Drosophila melanogaster: one gene and its partner. The protein of the gene in region 1 purifies or fractionates together with the protein of each later gene. This does not show direct contact. Each region holds a gene or a part of one and is shown on either strand. Other genes may lie near its edges.

What was found. Proteins that work in one complex are often made in the same cells at the same time.
Region 2: the proteins of Tbp (region 1) and Taf9 purify together in Drosophila melanogaster (affinity purification with western blotting; 8 studies listed by BioGRID, with this or other methods). This does not show direct contact.

The regions. Positions count from the first base shown.
Region 1 is NT_033778.4:21,684,876-21,690,481, forward strand, and holds Tbp (TATA binding protein), read right to left. Parts: upstream 2,768-5,606; 5' UTR 2,578-2,767; coding exon 1,795-2,577; intron 1,731-1,794; coding exon 1,452-1,730; 3' UTR 1,317-1,451; downstream 1-1,316. Other genes in the region: eIF3k (eukaryotic translation initiation factor 3 subunit k), read left to right, coding at 501-571, 638-1,235; BaraC (baramicin C), read right to left, coding at 3,229-3,515, 3,584-3,635; CG10307 (uncharacterized protein), read left to right, coding at 4,168-4,347, 4,409-4,993, 5,052-5,312; Tim10 (translocase of inner membrane 10), read right to left, coding at 5,472-5,599. UniProt on the Drosophila melanogaster protein: General transcription factor that functions at the core of the DNA-binding multiprotein factor TFIID.
Region 2 is NC_004354.4:17,840,591-17,844,796, forward strand, and holds Taf9 (TBP-associated factor 9), read left to right. Parts: upstream 1-1,570; 5' UTR 1,571-1,668; coding exon 1,669-1,819; intron 1,820-1,883; coding exon 1,884-2,569; 3' UTR 2,570-2,758; downstream 2,759-4,206. Other genes in the region: CG6398 (uncharacterized protein), read left to right, coding at 1-105, 172-337, 400-509; CG8142 (uncharacterized protein), read right to left, coding at 2,830-2,916, 2,979-3,846, 3,923-4,029. UniProt on the Drosophila melanogaster protein: TFIID is a multimeric protein complex that plays a central role in mediating promoter responses to various activators and repressors.

The DNA of each region.
Region 1 (5,606 bases):
AACATGTAGATTACACAAGACATGCACTTCCACATGAACTTCCAGGTTAAGCAAAACGGAACGGAACTTCCCTTAAACATGAGATACATACGTGTATATGTATTAAAATCATTAAACTTCCACTTAAATATGTGTTTTATTTATTGGACTTTATTTGTTGCGCAGAAAAACAATTTTTGAGATTCTATAAGATTTCAGAATGTTTGAGCAACCCAAGACGTAAGGTAAGTAAAGTGGTTAAATACCCAGCAAAAGTGAAATGCGAGTTATTCGAACTTTAAAATAAACTAGTTTGTAAATTCGAATATTTTCTTCGCGTAACGGGAATTTTGAAATGGAATTCAGGAATACCCCTTGCAGATTCCCACACAATGTGACCGCATTCCGTTTGTTTGCATCGGCAAATGCGAGTTCAGCACTGCGGTCACACCGAATCTTTCTTTATTAAAATAAAAAACACGACGTCAACTTGCGAATTTCATACAAATTAGCCGTAGAAAATGTCGCACCTCGTGAAAATGGAAAACGGCCAGAGCCAGACCATCCAGGAGATGCTGGGCTGCATCGAGCGGTAAGAACTGCACAAATTCACTCAGTTATGATGCTTAGTAAAAACATAACCTCGCTTTTGCCGCAGCTACAACCCAGATCATCTGAAAACACTGGAGTCCTATGTGCAGGATCAGGCTAAGAACAACACCTACGACCTGGAGGCCAACCTGGCCGTGCTGAAACTGTACCAGTTCAACCCGCACATGCTGAACTTCGACATCACGTACACCATTCTGCTGAAGTCACTGACCAGCCTGCCGCACACGGATTTCGTGATGGCCAAGTGCCTGCTGCTGCCCCAGCAGATGAAGGACGAGAATGTGCAGACAATCATCGACCTCGCCGACATACTGGAGCGGGCGGACTTCACCCTCTTCTGGCAGCGGGCCGAGGTGAACCGCAACATGTTCCGCCACATCACCGGCTTCCACGATTCAATTCGCAAGTTCGTCTCGCATGTGGTGGGCACCACATTCCAGACAATTCGCAAGGACCTGCTTAAGGAGCTGCTCGGCGGCATCGAGGACTCGACGCTGGAGAGCTGGATCAAGCGCAATGGCTGGAAGAACCAGGGCCAGGGACTCGTCATCGTGGCCATGCAGGACGACAAAATCAAGACGAAGAACATTACGGAGAAGATCGAGTTCGACAACGTGGGCGCCCTGATGGCCCAGTGCCTGTAGGAACCTCATTCGCGTTCATAGTCCTTGTCTAAATTTTTACGAATAGTAATTAACGGAAAAAAAATAATAATAAAAGCCTGTCCGTACAGCTAAATTACTTTGTGGTTTATTCTCGATCGGAGCTGCTCGCCAGGCTGCTCCCACTCATATGATCAGACTTCCAGAACTACCGACCTTAAAACGTACACGTACAGAACTAATAAAGCGCTATCCTATTTATGACTGCTTCTTGAACTTCTTTAAAATGGGGAATATCTTGTCGAAGGCATCGTAGATCTCCTGCCGCACCTTTGCTCCAGTGAGCACCACCTTTCCGGACACGAAGATGAGGAGCACGATTCGAGGTCGCACCATACGATAGATTAAGCCGGGAAATAGCTCAGGCTCGTAGCTGCTGAAGTTGCAATGGGTCAGCACCAGGCCTTCCAAGCGTATGGGGAACTTGACATCGCAGGAGCCGACCATGTTTTGAATCTTAAAGTCGAGGAACTTTGCCTGCGGGAGAGAAAGCGTTAGAGATTCGCCGGGAAGAGAAAGGAAATGTAAAGTCTTGTCTTACAGGGAAACCGAGCTTTTGGATGATGCGCGCATACTTTCTCGCTGCCAGTCTGGAGTCGTCCTCACTCTTTGCCCCTGTGCACACCATCTTGCCGGAGCTGAAAATAAGGGCGGTGGTCCGGGGCTCTCGGATTCGCATAATCACAGCCGCAAATCGCTTAGGATTGTACTCGGCGTTTCTCGCATGCAATGCTATTTTCTTGAGGTCCAGTTTGCAGCACAGATTAACCGTGGACACGATGTTCTGAAGTTGTGGCACAATACCGGGATCAGCGGAACCTGGTGTGGCTGGTGTCATCGGCGTGGAGGGGCCCATCGTCTGGTGGATGTTGCTCAGGGCATCTCCGCCACCTCCGGCCCCCGAACCGCCCACACTCCGCTCACTCATGGGCATCATGTGGGCCATCATGCTCTGCGGCGTCTGCGGCTGCATCATGGACTGCGGAGTGCTCCCACCGCCGCCGGGCGCCTGACTCTGGAGCTGCTGTTGCTGCTGCTGCTGCTGATAGGAGGCCGATGGCTGGTAACTCTGCATTTGTTTGTGCGCCAGCGGGAGCGATGGTTCGTGGCCAAAGAGACCTGATCCCCCACTGGCGTCCGACTGCTGTTGCTGCTGCTGGTGCTGCACGGAACTGGAACCGGGTGCCGGCATCAACGAATCCGGCTGCGATACAGCCGGAGGATGGTACACAGGATTGGCCACTATCTGCTGGTCCGCTTCCATCTGGTGGAGCGGCGTTCCGATGCTCGGAATCGAGAAGTTGGGGCTTAGCATTTGGTCCATCTTACAGATGGTTTATTGTGGACTCCGGTGAATTTTTCAGTGACTCAATTCAAGATTGCTGAACGGGCTCAACTTTGGGTTTTAATTGCATACCCACAGAGCGGGAAATTAATTTAATAGTAATAATAATAATAATGTAATGCAACCGCGTTCGTCGTTGTACCTGTGGCTCGTTTTGTGAGAATGGCAAAGTCAGCGCTGCATTTTGCCGCAACTATCGATAGCTGGCTGGGTCTTACGTTTATCGTTACGTTCTTAGCATTTAAGTATTTCATTGAAAATATGTATGAAAATAATTATAACAATAATTATCTTTGATTGTATTTTAATGTTTAGTTAAAAATCACACTTCAACGTTTCAAATATTTCTTATACGTTAAATCTCTCCCTTACGTTGTTGCCAATCGATAACTAAAATGGCGCACTTTTCAAAAGAATCAAGTATACTTTGTTGTACTTCTGTTTAATAGCTAAATAATTTGTGTATAAGGTGAACAAAAGAAATAGCGAATAAATAATAGTGCATAATACTTAGAAGGAAAATGGTTATTCTCATCTATGCAGTTTCAGCAATAGATTTTCGTGGGCGTGAACTGAAAAACGATGTGTTAAAAATTAATTAATTGGAACTTTTGCACTTGGAAAGTGCAATTAAATGGTTATTAAACTAATTAGAAAAATGAGAACGCCGCCCATGCTGAAACCGAAGGTTGAATAGGCCAAACTTGTGACAGTTGCCGTTGAGGAATGGGTGTAAGTATTTCCGTGCTCATCGGTGTAGGAATGCTGCCCACTTGAGGGTGAGTTTTGGAACGTTCCTCCCATTTCGGGCACTGTGTAGGGTCCTTCGTTCTGACCCCGTATGTAAATGCCGTTTCCAGGTGTGCCGAACTCATGGGGACCATTTCTTCCATCATAATTCTGCTGCGCATTTGTCACTGGAGAAAAATAGAGAGAGAGTGTTGAATGGATGTGGCGGTTCTAGTGGTTCCCACACTTGACTTACCGGCAAACAACAGCGTGCTCACTATGAAAACAAGTAAAGTACACGATCTCATGATGCAGTTTCCAGTCACTGAGCTCAATTTCAACTGAGAGCGGCTCGGTAATTTACAATCTATTTATATAAACCGATAGAAAGACGAGCTTTTTGCCAATTAGCAGCTGAGAATGGGTAATGTCAAATGTTGAGCTTTCCTTGTGCGACAAACATTACAAGCGACAATGTACCAATTTTAAAATAGAACTACCCTATTGCCAATATCTAGCATTTTGCGCATGCCTTTACCCAGGAAATGAAATTTTTAATTTTAGTTCATCAGCTTGGGAAGAGAAGGCAGGCAAAAGAGAGTGCAGCAAATAGAGATTTTTGTGCATATATAGACTCCGAGAATCGTTATATAACATGCACTCAAAACAAACGAAAAAACGCGCAAATCGGGCGACAGTTCGAAACTACAAAAGACAAGGCCTGAAAACTAAGCTACTAGCGCCAAAAACAGAGTAGGTTTTCCAAAGAGTGTGAAATAGTTTGGAACCCAAGACAACCAAATTCAAGTGCTGCAGAAGTAAACACTTAATAAGGGCGACATGGAGAAGGTTTGTCAGTTTTTCCGCAACAACTACGTGCTGGCCAATTGCGAGGATGCCATATACAAAAAGGCATTCTCCCTGAATCTGTCCCACTACCAAATCTCCGACGTTCCGGGCATCATAGAGAAGTGCGAGACGCTGATGAAGCTGTTCCTCAACCAAAACAAGCTAACAAAGGTGGCACCTGGTGCACAAGATAGCCAATGAAATAATAGACTCACAATCCCTTGACTCACAGATTCCATCCTCCATTGGTAGTTTGATGCGACTTCAGGTCCTCACGTTGGACTACAATAAACTGGACGAATTCCCGCTCTGCATCTGTCGTTTGGTCCGGCTGAAGTTTCTCAACATCAGCTGCAATAACATTAGTAGTTTGCCACCCGAACTGGGATACCTCACTCAGCTGGAGACGTTCTGGTGCAATAATACTGGGCTCCTGGAGCTGCCCAACGAAATTCGTAACTGTGAACACCTCGAGACGCTGGGCGTACGGGGAAATCCCTTGAAGAAGTTGCCCGATGCCATAGGCGCTCTGTCCTCCCTGCGTTGGCTAACAGCCGAGGGCTGCGAACTCAGCGAAGTGCCACTGACCATGGCGTTGCTGGGAAATTTGGTGCATCTGAATCTTAAGGGGAATCGATTGCGACGGCTGCCCAGGATGCTGATGGCCATGCAGAAGCTGCGGTTTGCTTTTCTCAACGAAAATTGTATTGACGAGATGCCCACGCGGTCACAACTGGAGGAGTTGCGGACTCTTCACATGCTCAACCTGTCCAAGAATCCCATCAGCCTGCACCGCGATCTACAGCTAATGGCTTTGGTGAAGCTCCAAATTAACCTTTGTGTTTCTTTTTGTTGAATTTCTCTGAATTTTACAGCGCCAGACGAACCTTTATGTGGAGCTGCCGTCAGATCCCGCCAATATTTGCGATGGTCTCGCCAGTCGAGCTAGCCTCAACGCCCAGGAACAGCAGGAGGATCAGGCGCGAGGAGCAGGACAGGATCTAGACTCCTCCGACTGGGCGAACAGCGTGCGGACCAGCGAACTGGACACAACGGACGAGAGTGCGCTGGAGAACAACATCGAGGATCTGAGTGTCATGCTGCCGGAAATGTCGCGCTTTGTCACCACCTTTTGAATGCATTAATCTGTGTCAACGAGGTCTGATATTATGTAGCACACATAAATCTGTGGTTTATTCTCTACAACGGGGTGTTTTGTACATGTACCTCTAACAATCGTAGCGCTTCAAAAATGCACATTGGTTAAGCGGAAATGTGGGTTAATGGGTGCCAGGTTAACTAGACATCTTCTTCATCAGCTCCTCGTCCTGCATGGACATGGCCGTCAGCTTCTTGCCGATCTTCTCGTGAATGTCCAGATATTTGGCCACACAGCGATCGATGCACACCATCTCGCCTTTGCCTGTAGG
Region 2 (4,206 bases), on another chromosome or scaffold:
GTCACCTGTCTCCTGGCCGCCGGCGCCATGGGACTCTGGCACACCGTCGAGTTCTTTGAGAAGGAGAAGGTCGTGGGCGAGGATTACTTCCAGCAGTGGAACACGGTATGTACACCAGCTGCATTGGGCATGTATGTGGATTAACTAATGATGAATATCTTGATTTATTAGGTCCTGCGCGACAACACGAAGATCGCCTACGACTGGTCGTACATCGTGGCCTGGGCAGGAATCGGAACCTGTCTCCTGGCGTCCATTCTGCTCTCCGGCGCGGCCGTTTGCCTGCGCAACGAGCGGGAGAAGGAGGAGCAGCTGAACCTGCAGTACCTGATGCCAGGTATGTCCATCGTGCTGACCCTCTAATATAACTAATGACTAATTTTCGGTTTCCATTTCCAGTTTACTCGCAGAAGCAGCCACCCTATCCCCCTTATGCCAACTACGCCCAGCCGCAGATCTACCCAGGACCTTACTATCATGGCTCGCAGTACGGACCCTACAACTACTAGAGGCACACCCGAAGGGGCCAGCCAGCTTCAGCCAGCAGCTGCAATTGAGTTATAGAGACATAGAGATCACAAATCATGACCAGGAGGGAACCTGGTAGCCCTCCCCAGTAATCAAAATAGAGCAAGCGCTAACGAAATCTTAAAACGCATACATTCTGACAATGAAAATATTACTTAAAGCATCAATTTTTTTTTTCGACAAGAATCTAGTTTGTAGTCTATATAGAGCTATATAGTATATATATATATGCTTGTATGTATAACTGATCGTGGGACTTGAGTCAAAGTTGCGTCCAAGTTTTTGGTGCGCGAATTGTTTGCGCGTTATTTTGCAAATATCTAAGAGAGACGAATGGATGGATGGTTTTATATGTTGACCACGGCGAGATGGCGATTTAAAGACGGAACAATAAAGAGTTAATTTATTGTAGCACGTAACGTACATGTAGCGTATCTAAAATAATAATAAAGAAATATGTGTATGTATCTAAGCTAAAAGTTTCATTGTACAATGTATATGAATGTAATAATGCGCGACAAGCTTCAATTGTCTTCCAAGTATAGTGCATATTGTATGTAGAGCTGTACGTTTAATGAATAAAAGTTTCTTACGTTAATTTAACAGTTTTTAGCTCCTTTTGGCGGGACTTCGTTTTTGTTTTTCCACAACTGGGGTATTCAAGTTTTGTTAATAAGCTTATCAAGTCGTGTGAGAGAAATTTTTGACTTTATTAAAACTAAACAGAATTGTAGTCTTCATTTCACTCTGCCATTTGTTCTCGTTTCGTTAATTCCGAAATATTTTGAAATTGTTGTTTCTGATAGTTAATATTCCACCTATTGGTCCACCTATTATGCCAATGTGGTGTTATGTGATCTGGTAGAAATATGCTTATTGTTTAATATTTTGGATAAGCTTCATTAGATTTGTTCCTACATTTAAAAATCGATTTCTAATTTAGCCGTTTTTTTTAAATGGCCAGAGCCAGAGTTGCCACCCTGCAGTCCAGCGGCGTTTTCCACACTAGACGTCTGCATCGATAGTATCGCATAAGCTCACCGATTTCCGATAGACCCGTATATATGTACGTGCACAATTTCAATGGAATAAACAATCTTCTTGCAGCAAAGCCGACGTAAACATAATAACTATAGAAGTATGAGCGCAGAGAAGTCCGATAAGGCCAAGATCAGTGCCCAAATCAAGCACGTGCCGAAGGACGCGCAGGTGATCATGTCCATCCTGAAGGAGCTGAATGTCCAGGAGTACGAGCCGCGCGTGGTCAACCAACTGCTGGAGTTCACCTTCCGTAAGCGGCGATTAATGCCTTGCTTTTCCCACATCATTTTCCTAAATGCTGTCTTGCATTGCAGGCTATGTAACCTGCATTCTGGACGACGCCAAGGTGTACGCCAACCATGCGCGCAAGAAGACCATCGACTTGGACGACGTGCGTCTGGCCACCGAGGTTACGCTGGACAAGAGCTTCACCGGGCCGTTGGAGCGCCACGTTCTAGCCAAGGTGGCCGACGTGCGCAACAGCATGCCCCTGCCACCCATTAAGCCGCACTGCGGTCTCCGACTGCCGCCCGACCGCTACTGTCTCACCGGCGTCAACTACAAACTGCGGGCCACTAATCAGCCCAAGAAAATGACCAAGTCGGCGGTGGAGGGCCGTCCACTGAAGACCGTCGTTAAGCCCGTCTCCAGCGCCAATGGTCCGAAGAGGCCACACTCCGTGGTGGCCAAGCAGCAGGTGGTGACCATTCCCAAGCCCGTCATCAAGTTTACCACCACTACGACAACGAAAACGGTGGGCAGCTCCGGCGGATCTGGGGGCGGCGGTGGTCAGGAGGTTAAGAGCGAGAGCACCGGCGCCGGCGGAGATCTCAAGATGGAGGTGGACAGCGATGCGGCGGCCGTGGGCAGCATCGCTGGCGCATCCGGTTCGGGAGCAGGAAGTGCCAGCGGAGGAGGAGGAGGAGGAGGATCATCTGGCGTTGGAGTGGCCGTCAAGCGGGAACGTGAGGAGGAGGAGTTTGAGTTTGTGACCAACTAGCGAAACGACATCATTTACCTTAAATTAATATTCTTAAACCAGACCAAAGCACTTGCATTTGGTTGAGCGAACTGGGGGTCTAAATTTCAACTCGAATGTGAAGTCCCAAAAACCTTAGTATAGATTCGCCCGTTAATCATTATGAAATCTACGTTTTATACACAAATACAACTACCAGATTTTCATATTAAATATAACATTTATTTTAGACTCCAGTCGCGGATAAAGTACATGTAATGAATGTGCTGAGTGGGATGAGATTACTTTAAAGCTAAGATGATGCAGCAGCCAAGGTCCATGATCTGCAGATACTCGGAGCCGCCGTCCTGCAGTCGAAAGCAGCATTCCTGTGGGATAAAGGCAGCAATAAACAAGAGGAATCATATCTATCTATGCAGTCAGTACGTACGCCCAGCTTATCGCAGATCGTGGCCTTTTGCGGATCATTCAGCCCCGGATGATGGACAATGAACTCGACGAACTGTTCCATCATTTGGCCAACGCTGTAGGCGGAGAAGCCAATCTCCCGCACGAACTGCTCCAGGCGCTCGTAGTTCCCAGAGCGACAGACCTCCAGGTAATCCTCCAGATAGTACTCCGGTATAACGCCCGACATCTCGAACAGATCAGCAGTGTTGATGATGTGCTCGGGCCCTTTAAGGCGGTAGCAGGACTGCAAGGTGGTGATAGCGCGTCGCAGATCTCCGCCGGAAATTTTGACAATGGATTTATAGGCATCGTCCTCTATCTTTACTCCCTCCATCTCGCAAATGTACTTCAAACGATCGATCACCTTGTCTTCGCCCAGCGCCTTGAAGCGAAATTTAGAGCAACGCGACGTGATTGGCACGATAATTCGGGACACATAGTTGCAGATCAGGCAAAAACGGGTGCTCCGGCTCTCCTTCTCCATGGTGCGACGCAGCGCAGACTGTGCGGCATGGGTCATCGAATCGGCCTCGTCCAGAATGATGATCTTGAAGGGCGGACACGGCTTACCGTCCGGACGCACACTGCTGGCCGACAGCTGCGAGAAGTTTTTGATCTTGGTGCGCACCACATTGATGCCACGCTCGTCGGAGGCGTTCAGCTCGAGGATGCGGTCCTTGAACATGTCGCCGAAGATCTGTCGGCTGGCAGCCAGGATCGTGCTGGTCTTGCCCGTGCCGGGCGGTCCGTAGAGCAGCATGTTGGGCAGGTCCCCGCCTTCAACGCACTTGCGCAGCACGGCCACCACTTCGGACTGCTCCACCACATCATCCACATTGCGTGGCCGGCTGTTTTCGTCATTCGAAAAGGATAGAAATCACTTAAATTAGCATGTGCTCCAAGTTGGCGACATCGTCAACTCACTATTTCTCCACCCACGGTGCCGGTGGCTTGCGACGCGCCGCCGGAGTACCCTGGCTCTTGTCTCCGGATCCCGCCGTTGATTTTCCCGTTTTCAAAAAGGCTTGCATACCGGTTTCCTTGTTTCTTGACAAAATTACAAATAAAGCAGGACGCAAATGCAAGTTAAGCGCGCGTTTATCGATAACAAGTTGTCGCGAGTTGAAAGGTTGCCGGTAGCAGAGCTGCCAGCTAGAGCGAAGCAATTGTACACCTGTAAAAACTTCTGTGTATTACAAAAGTTTGTA